Macaca fascicularis: one gene and its partner. Each later gene encodes a partner of the first gene's protein in a complex. Links are inferred from orthologs where the notes say so. Each region holds a gene or a part of one and is shown in the gene's direction. Other genes may lie near its edges.

Region 1 (4,821 bases):
GAGTTTTGTTCTGTTGCCCAGGCTGGAGTGCAGTGGCACGATCTTGGCTCACTGAAAGCTCCGCCTCCCGGGTTCACGCCATTCTCCTGCCTCAGCCTTCCGAGTAGCTGGGACTACAGGTACCCGCCACTACACCCGGCTTTTTTGTATTTTTAGTAGAGATGGGATTTCACCGTTAGCCAGGATGGTCTCGATCTCCTGACCTCGTGATCCGACCGCCTTGGCCTCCCAAAGTGCTGAGATTACAGGCGTGAGCCACCGCGCCCGGCCTTTTTCTTTTTTTGAGAGGCTTCTCGCTCTGTCGTCCATGCTGGAGTGCAGTGGGACGATCACCGCTTACTGCAGCCTCAAACTCCTGGCCTCCCAAAGCACTGGGATCACAGGTGGCAGCCACAGCCCCGGCCTGTTTTTTCAGTGTTGAGAGTCCTGGCCCCTAGATAGGAACAAGCATCCTCACTGTTCTAAAGCATCCTCACTGTTCTAAACCCCCCGGGCTGGCCCGGACAACTCCTAAAGCGGCCGAGGGCGGACCCTGAGGAGGCCGGCGCGCGCTTCGGGGCACAGCTTGTGGCGGTGAAGCCGCTCAGGTGGCGGAGGCCTTGGGTATCTGTAAGCAGGTCGCTAGGCCGCAGACCTCGGAACTCGTCTTGAGTCACTTTTATTTATTTATTTATTTTTGAGATGGAGTCTTGCTCTGTCGCCCAGGCTTGAGTGCAAAGGCGCGATCTCGGCTCACTGCAACCTCCGCCTCCCAGATTCAAGCAATTCTCTGCCTCAGCCTCCCAAGTAGCTGGGATTACAGGCGCCCACCACCACGCCCGGCTAATTTTTGTATTTTTAGTAGAAATGGGGTTTCACCATCTTGGCCAGGCTGGTCTTGAACTCCTGACCTCGTGATCCACGCGCCTAGGCCTCCCAAAGTTCTGGGATTTCAGCCACCGCGCCCGGCCCGGGTCACTTTTCGAGTATACAGTGTCTCCTCTCTCCTTCCTCCGTCGGCCCCCGCTGCCCCGACTCGGAGGCCGCAGATCAGGTTGAGAGCGCTACCATGGTTTCCCGCGCTCGCCTCGGGGCCTATTGCGCCTGCGCGAGTTGTGACGGCGGGACCCAGAGATACCCGCCCCAAGTACAGGATTGCGCCCTCTGCCGTCGCCTAACGGAACTCCGGGCGCGCGTGAGCACGCACCCCAAGCCCCGCCCCCCAGGCTGCCGGCGCGCGAGCCGTTGGCGACGCTCCCTGCGTTCCCTCTCCTGTAGTGGGGCGGGGCCGGGCCGCCCGAGTAGGGGGTGGAAGGCGGGGGCCACATAATGCCACGCCCCCGCCTCGTCCCCATTTGAAGCCCCACGACTCTTCACTGCTGGTCAATCAGAGCCCGTCCTCTCCCTAGTGCCGGCCAATGGGAGGTGCGCTCGGGCTGCTTCCGGCTCCGCGCTCCATTCGCCCCCTCCCCAGGTCTCCCCGCGACTGGCGGGACGCAGGGGCGGGCGTCGGCCGCGGTGACGCGCAGCGGGCCTGGAGCCAATAAGGGGCGGGCTCGGCGCTGATGGACGGTGCTGGTGGCCAGTGGAGAGGCGCTGGCCGCACTTCCCGTCGGGGAGAGAGTGTAATATGGCGAAGACCTACGATTACCTGTTCAAGCTGCTGCTGATCGGGGACTCGGGGGTGGGGAAGACCTGTGTCCTGTTCCGCTTCTCCGAGGACGCCTTCAACTCCACTTTTATCTCCACCATAGGTAGCGGGACCGGGGAGTGGCTGGGGGCGCCAGAGGCCCGGGCTGGGCGCGCCCCTGAGGGGCTGGGGCTGAGGGATCTACCGGGCTGGACTGGCCGAGGGCGCTGAGAGGGTCGAGGGGGCCTAAGGGGAGAAGAGCAGTCGCCTGTACCGCCGTTCGGGGGTTCCTGGGCCGTGGTGGGGGAGACCAGGTGCCCATTTTGCAGATGGGGAGACTGAGGCTCCGACCCTCAGCCCGCTCGTTAGGGAGTGTTATGTCCTGGGCTGGGGTCTTCGCGCCCGTCCTCTCGATCTGTCCTAGCAGCAGCCCTCAAAGCGGTTCTTTTGAGGCTCCTGCCTTACAGAAGTGGAAACTGAGTCATGGGGAATTGGCCATGGGAAAAAGACGGTAACATCTCACCTTAATGAGCATTTACTATGTGCCAAGTGCTTCCCGTGCATTTTCACACTCTCCAGTTCTCGGTGTTAAGTGCTGTTTTGAGCCCGTCTCACAGATGAGGAATTTGAGGCTCAGGGTGGGCCTGGAACTTGCCCAAGGCCACACAGTCTGCAGGTGGTGAGAATGGGATTTGATGGAATTTGAACCTGGCTGTGTCTCAACCCAAAACTCGAGGCTTAGCTATCCTAGAGAGATGCCACCTCACACTCCCAGCTGATGACAAGCTCAGCTAATGCACCTTGGAGCCGGAACTGTAACCCACACCATTCCTGCTCTTTTCTCTGGAGCATTCAGAAGTTGAACCCCTCTCCCTGACCATTCTTCCCCTCATAAGTGTATTTTCCTCTAGAAGGAATGATAAGAGGAGTCAGGACCTTTTCCCTGCCCACATTTCATCCTGCTCCAGGATGACAATAATGACAAGTGACAGCACTGCCTGCCCTGGAACCTGTCATCTGCAAGAAGATGCAAGATAAAAGCCTCAGCGAGCAACTAAATCAGCCACTGCCACAGACAGCCTTGACTTCCCTATCAAAGGGCCCAAGACTCCGGTTGTCACTTTAGAACAGCTTTTCCCGTAGGGCCAGCCCACATTGTGGTTGAACAGAATTGGCTTGGTGCATCTCAGTTGTGCCGTCTGCAGAAGTGGAACTGACCTCTCTCAGTGCCACAAAAGCAGTCCTGGCCCACAATGAAAAGGTTAGACCGGGGAGTAACACCAGTCTGAGTGGCCTGGGAGCTCTGTAGCCCTGCTAGGGATGGGGAAAATGGGGGAACGGTCACTAAGGAGTTTATTCCAAGTCACGAAAACGTAGGGAATGGCCTTTGCTTTACTGTGTCACTTCAACAGAATCATGTTTTCTCCCTGAACCCCACGATAATGTGCTGATTCCATTCTTGCCCCCCTCCAGGAGCTGTGCTTTTTTTATTTTATTTTATTTTATTCTATTTTATTTTATTTTATTTTATTTTATTTTTTGAGATGGAGTCTAGCTGTTTTGCCCAGGCTGGAATCCAGTGGTGCTATCTCGGGTCACTGCAACCTCCGCCTCTCGGGTTTAAGCAATTCTCCTGCCTCAGCCTCTCTAGTAGCTGGGACTATAGGCACCCGCCACCACGTCCAGCTAATTTTTGTATTTTTAGTAAATATGAGTTTCACTATGTTGGTCAGGCTGGTCTCAAACTCATGACCTTGTGATCCACCTACCTTGGCCTCCCGAAGTGCTGGGATTACAAGCATAAGCCACTGCACCCAGGATAGCTGTGCTTTATAAAACAGTTATATGCCTGATGTAAAGTAGAGAGAACTGACTGGAAATCGTTACGTCTGGTTTCCAATTGCTGTTTGCCCTTGAACATACACTGCCCCTCTCTGAGCCCTGCTGTCTTTAGAGCAGGAGTGACGCTGTCTCCTGGGCTAGTGCCCTGGTGGTTGAGGATTAGAATTAGACAATAAGGGGTTATCACCGTAACCAGAGGCCATCTCGAAGAAGCAAATGAATGAATGGCTCCTGCAGTGACAGCATCCAGCCTCTGAAGACAGATGGTTCTGAATTCTTCCCCCTCCCCAACTCCAAGGCCAAACTTTAGGGTAACTCTTGTGCCCCAACCGATCAAGAAGTGGCGTTAATTCAGCCTGGGCAACATAGCAAAACCCCATCTCTATAAAAAATAAAATAAAATTAGCCGGGCATACTGGCTTACCCGTATAGACCCAGCCACTTGGGAGGCCAAGATGGGAGGATTGATTGAGCCCAGGAGGTCAAGGTGCAGTGAGCTGTGATGGCGCCACTGCACTCCAGCCTGGGCAACAGAGCGAGACCCTATCTTAAAAGAAAGAAAGAAAGAAATTATGTTAACTGTGGGCAGACTGTGGCTTGCCTTCACTCAGATCCCAGTTTCCCGGCCTCAGCACCTTCCCCACAAACCCCCCCTCTTTTTTTTTGAGATGGAGTCTCGCTCTGTCACCCAGTCTGGAGTGCAGTGGCATAATCTCGGCTCGCTACAACCTCCGCCTCCCAGGTTCCAGCAATTCTCCTGTTTCAGCCTCCTGAGTACCTGGGATTACAAGTGCCCACCACCATGCCCAGCTAATTTTTGTATTTTTTTTTTTTTTTTAGTAGAGACAGGGTTTCACCACGTTGGCCAGGCTGGTCTCGAACTCCTGACCTCATGATCCGCCCACCTTGGCCTCCCAAAGTGCTGGCATTACAAGCATGAGCCACTGCGCCCAGCCCAGACCCCCCCTCTTTAGAGTTACTTTGAGCTTTAAAGAGGCTGTCTTCCATTTGCAGATGAGGATGTGACTTGGTGAAAGTTACCTAGCAAGGTGAAGGTGGCACCTGACCCCAGGATCCCTCCCTCTCACCCCTTCATTCCCCTCCTTCCATTTGTAGCCTTCTGTCTTCTAGGAATTTCTTTTTTTTTTTTTTTTTTTTGAGACGGAGTCTCTGCCGCCCGGGCTGGAGTGCAGTGGCCGGATCTCAGCTCACTGCAAGCTCCGCCTCCCGGGTTCACGCCATTCTCCTGCCTCAGCCTCCCAAGTAGTTGGGACTACAGGTGCCCGCCACCTCGCCCGGCTAGTTTTTTGTATTTTTTAGTAGAGACGGGGTTTCACTGTGTTAGCCAGGATGGTCTCGATCTCCTGACC
Region 2 (4,920 bases), on another chromosome or scaffold:
TTTTTTTTTTTTTTGAGACGGAGTCTCACTCTGTCGCCCAGGCTGGAGTGCAGTGGTGAAATCTCGGCTCACTGCAAGCTCTGCCTCCCAGGTTCATGCCATTCTCCGGCCTCAGCCTCCCAAGTAGCTGGGACTACAGGTGCCCTCCACCACACCCGGCTAATATTTTGTGTTTTTAGTAGAGACGGGTTTTTGTTTGTTTGTTTGTTTTTAATAATAGAGATGAGGTCTCAGTTTGTTGCCTAGGCTGGTCTCAAACTCCTGGGCTCAAGCGATCCTCCCACCTCGGCCTCCCAGAGTGCTGGCATTACAGGCGTGAGCCACTGCACCTGGCCACAAATGTTATCTGCTTTAATACTCACTACTTCACAGGGGAGAACTGTTCCCATTTTATATAGATGAGGAAACTGAGTCCCAGAGAGGTTAAGTGACTTGCCTGAGGCCACACAGCCAGCGAGTGGCAGAACTAGGATGAGAATTCGGGCCAAATGAAGACAGGGTGGCACATTCACACCATCCCACAGATGGATGGGGTCTGTGTACCAGGCAAGGGGACACTGAGAAGGGTGACGAGGATGGCCCAGCCTCTGCGCAGAGGGCCACTCAGTTCTTGCGGGAGTTGCACCAGTTCCGTGGGGTGTTTGTCATGTGCAGGGCTAACCATGTGTCTGAGGGCTCTAGTGTCTGCAGAGGAAAAAAGTAACCCACAGGGGAGGGCTTCCTAGAGGAGGGGGTATGAACAAAAGAGAAACTTACCAGCAGAGGCAGGATGCAGTGGAGATTGCAGACAGGTGGGATAGTATGTGGAAAGAAGAGGAATGGGCACATCTGGGCAGTGGCAACTGGCCTGGTGTGCTTTGGAGGGTGAGAATCCATTTCATAGTTGGAGAAACTGAGGCACAACGAGGCTAACGTGCTCAAAGGCACACCGTCTGAAAGTGGGGTTGAATCCAGCCTGTCTGACCCTGGGCCTGTGCTCCCAGCTGCTACCACTGAGTTGTTCCTGGGTGGTGGTGGTGAAAAGTTTTAAGGGTAGCGAGACCCCGTCTCTCCAAACAAAAAAAAAAAATTAAAAATTAGCCAAGCATGGTGACACATGCCTGGAGTCCCAGCTGCTCAGGAGGCTGAGGTGGGAGGATGGCTTGAGCCGGGGAGTTTGAGGCTGCCTTCCAGCCTGGGTGACAGAGTGAGACCCTGCCTTGAAAAATTAAAAAAAAAAAAAAAAAAAAGACAAAACTAGGAATCTCAAATTTAAGAAAAAGAATTAAAAAATAATAATAATAACAGTTTTTTGTTTGTTTGTTTGTTTTGTTTTTTGAGATGGAGTTTCGCTCTTGTTGCCTAGGCTGGAATGCAATAGCACAATCTCGGCTCACCGCAACCTCCGCCTCCCAGGTTCAAGCAATTCTCCTGCCTCAGGCTCCCGAGTAGCTGGGATGACAGGCATGCGCCACCATGCCTGGCTAATTTTGTATTTTTAGTAGAGACGGGGTTTCACCATGTTGGTCAGGCTGGTCTTGAACTGCTGACTTCAGGTGATCTGCCCGCCTCGGCCTCCCAAAGTGCTGGGATTACAGGCGTGAGTCTCCGTGCCCGGCCAATAACAAAGTTTTAAGTGGATATTCAGGCTTGTGGTCACAGTCGGGAGGGCCTGTCAGGGCTCCACAGCCAGCTTACGACAGCTATGACAGGGTCAAGGCTGGACAGGCAGTTTCCAACGCCCCAGCCTGTGTGGCGAGGGGACAAGTAGACCATCTGGGAGCCTGGCTGAAACACGGGGCCTCCTCTTGAGGTGTCTCATCTCCCCTGGCCCAGAGCCCAGGAAGGAGGGCCCAGTGTCTTCTGCTGCCTGAGGAGCCACAGGAGTTAATAATTACGGGGTTGAAGGAGATAGCGGCTGTCCTGGGAGGTGGTGCCTCCCTCCCAGGCTGCTGCTCTGAGGAGATAGCAAAGGTTAGTGTGAGGCCCAGCCTAGTGGGGGGAAGAAGGCTCCTGCTACCTCCCTTCCCAGCACCCTCCAGAGGGACCCTCAGTCTGGCCTTCCAAGCATGGACTCTTCTGAGGAGCACGCCAGGTGCCCCGCCCGAGGGACATGCCCCGTGTTCCTGGCCATGAGTGCAGGGACTGTCCGCTACGCCCCATTAGGCCTGTGCCCTGCACTTGAGGGGAGCTTGAGAGAAGAGCCCTGGGGCACAGAAAGGTGAGCTCAGGACCTGCGGCATGGAGGGGAGGGGGAATCTTGGCGAGCTTCAGGGCAGCCGGTGTGAGAAGCTGGGCTCAGAGAGTCCTAGGGAATGGCTCTGACTGTCTTGTCCAATTTGGTGGCTGTAGAGAGGTGGAGACTGAAGCTCAGATAGGGCAAGACACTCGTCCTGGGTCACACAGTGAGCTGAGGTCAGACTTGTAAGTCCAGAATCAGGGCCTGGGTCATCCAGGCTGACTGTCTCCTACTCCTCAGCTGCCTTCAGCCAAGGGTCTGTGGTCAAGGCTGTCAGGCTTGGGATGTAGCAGGCAGAGGGGGATAGAGGGAGGGAGGGTCAGGAGGGCAGTGGCTTGTGGGCAGAGGACACAACTTTTTTTTTTTTTGAGATGGAGTTTCGCTCTTGTTGCCCAGGCTGGAGTGCAATGGTGCGATCTCGGCTTACAGCAACCTCTGCCTCCCGGGTTCAAGCGATTCTCCTGCCTCAGCCTCCTGAGCAGCTGGGATTACAGGCATGCACCACCACGCCCAGCTAATTTTGTATTTTTTAATAGAGACAGGGTTTCTTCATGTTGGTTAGGCTGGTCTCAAACTCCCGACCTCAGGTGATCCGCCTGTCCTGGCCTCCCAAAGTGCTGGGATTACAGACGTGAGCCACCGCGCCTGGCCCAGACACAACTTTTATTTCTCCCTTCCCTGCCACTGGCCAGGAACCTATAGCCTGTGCTCGGGAACCTCTTGCTGCCTGGCTGCACACAGCTGCAGCTGCCAGTGAGCTTCTAGTTTCTGGATGGTCTTTTTGGAAAACTGGTGTAAGAGGACTCAGCCCCACTGCCCCTGGCTGTGTGATATCTGGCAAGTTCCTTAACTTCTCTGAGCCCATCCTTTTTGGCTGAGGAGCAAGTTCAGCTGAGCAGTAGGGTCCTCCCTACTGGGGGAGGCAGTGAGGCCTAGGAGTCCATGGTAGCAGGAAGCATGGATGACAGGCTATTTTTGGTTAGAAATTGAGTGTCGATGCTTTCTGAGTGGTGACCACACACTTGTCCTTCGAGACCTCGCTCAAGGGCCTCCCCAGTCCACCAGCTGTCCCAGGCTGAGGACTCTTCCTCCAGGGACATAGCCCTGAGCTGACGCCTCCTCCACCCACTTTATCTCCCACTGGTCTGGGTTGCCATGACTTACCTCCTCCCGGTGCTTGTGAAGACTTGAGGGCAAGGGCCCTGTGCTGGGTTCCTTTTGTGTCATTTTCTCCTCCTTCTCTAAATAGTGAACAAAACAAGGGCCAGGAAGACAACAGTTGCTCAAGACCTACTGATGAGGGATTCAAGCCAGCAAACACATGTGGACATCTGCTTTGGGTGGGCCAGACCCTGAGCTGGGCTGGGGGCGGGGTGAGGGAACACAGCTCCAAGAAAGAGAGAATCCCTGCCCTCTGGAAGCCATGGCCATGGAAACAACTGCCCTGCTGCGTGATGGCTATGGGACGCCTGGGCTGAATGATTCTAGAAAGTTGGAAGGGATGCTAGGGAGAACTGCCAAGGTTGTTCACTGCACAAAATGCTGGCCAAGGGAGCAAGCAAGGCATAGAATCCAGCCTCGCCTCCACTCTCCAGATTCCCTACCTTGTTGTGCACTATGCCCAGTGGGGAAAGAGCACTGTTGTCTATTTGTACTCTGGACATGGAGGTCTTAGAGAATACCTCCCTCATCCTCCATCCTCCATCATGGAGCCCCAGGAGGGCAGAGCCTATGTCTGCACAGTTTCCTTCTGGGTCACCAGCCCTTGCATGGCCCATAGACTATGCTCAGATGGAGTGGCTGAATGTATGAATGAGTTGAATGAATGAATAAAATGTGTCCTCAAATGAAGATCTGACTAGCTTGAGCCTGGGGCCTGAGTCAGTGGGCCTGGAGGGGTTCAGCACTAGGACCTCTGGTAGCACCTAGAAGGGCAAGTACCTCCCCCCAAGCTCCCAGTCCTCCCCCAGACAGGGAAGGTGGGAGCCATGGTTCCTGGTGGGAGAGAAGAGGGGTTCTGCTCTTACTGGTCCAGTCCCAGGCTGAAGTTGAGAACAATGATCAGGACTCAGAATGGGTGGGACAGAGGAACTGAGGGACAGGTAGACCAGTGGTCTGGGATTCAGGGAAAGGTTTCACGGAGGATGAGGAACCAGACAGGTGTGCGTATGTGTGTGTGTTGGTGGGGGTGGGGTGGGGAATACTATCCAGAGGGCAGATGGTGGGTAAAGGCAGGGATGGGCACAGTGTGTTAAGAGGCAGGAGGCTGGGTGAGGAGAGTTGGACCAGAAGTGGAAACTCCTTCGGGGTAAAACTCAGAGAGTAGGACTCAGAAAACTTGTTTCGGGTTTGTCCCCTCCCCTTCCCAGCAGGCAGGATATTGCACAGGGACAGGCACTAAGCAGATAGACTAGGGAAGGAGTGCCGGTGAGGATGGGGGAGGGTGTCTGCTGGCCTTAAGTGACAATCTGTGTGAGAATCCAAGAGCTGAGAGCCCGGGAGCCATTGTAGGTTCTTGAGCAGGGGTGGCCCAAAGTGGGTGGTGCAGAGGGCGATTGGAGAGGACGAGTCAGCTAGGGAGTCTGAGCGCGGCGCGGGCCGCGGGATGTTGGGGGCCGGGTTCCTTCCCCGCGCCGCGGTCTCCTTGTCCCGGCGCGGCGGGCCGGGTGGGGCCGGGCCCTGGGAGCGCGCGCCCGATCCCA

What was found. The genes of interacting proteins can lie anywhere in the genome.
Region 2: the proteins of RAB8A (region 1) and RAB3IL1 are in contact, whole or in part, in a crystal structure (PDB 4LI0), measured with the Homo sapiens proteins. The link is inferred for Macaca fascicularis from reciprocal best matches to the Homo sapiens genes RAB8A and RAB3IL1. Residues at the interface, in NP_005361.2 of Homo sapiens: Lys10, Phe33, Ser35, Phe37, Ile43, Asp44, Phe45, Lys46, Ile47, Gln60, Trp62, Thr72, Ile73, Thr75, Ala76, Tyr77, Arg79; in NP_037533.2 of Homo sapiens: Arg104, Glu108, Leu111, Glu112, Thr115, Ala116, Phe119, Glu120, Ala122, His123, Arg127.

What each region holds. Positions count from the first base shown.
Region 1 is NC_088393.1:16,426,180-16,431,000, forward strand, and holds the start of RAB8A (ras-related protein Rab-8A), read left to right. Parts: upstream 1-1,590; 5' UTR 1,591-1,609; coding exon 1,610-1,733; intron 1,734-4,821. UniProt on the Homo sapiens protein: The small GTPases Rab are key regulators of intracellular membrane trafficking, from the formation of transport vesicles to their fusion with membranes.
Region 2 is NC_088388.1:12,062,659-12,067,578, forward strand, and holds the start of RAB3IL1 (guanine nucleotide exchange factor for Rab-3A), read left to right. Parts: upstream 1-1,956; 5' UTR 1,957-2,048; coding exon 2,049-2,200; intron 2,201-4,920. UniProt on the Homo sapiens protein: Guanine nucleotide exchange factor (GEF) which may activate RAB3A, a GTPase that regulates synaptic vesicle exocytosis. Promotes the exchange of GDP to GTP, converting inactive GDP-bound Rab proteins into their active GTP-bound form.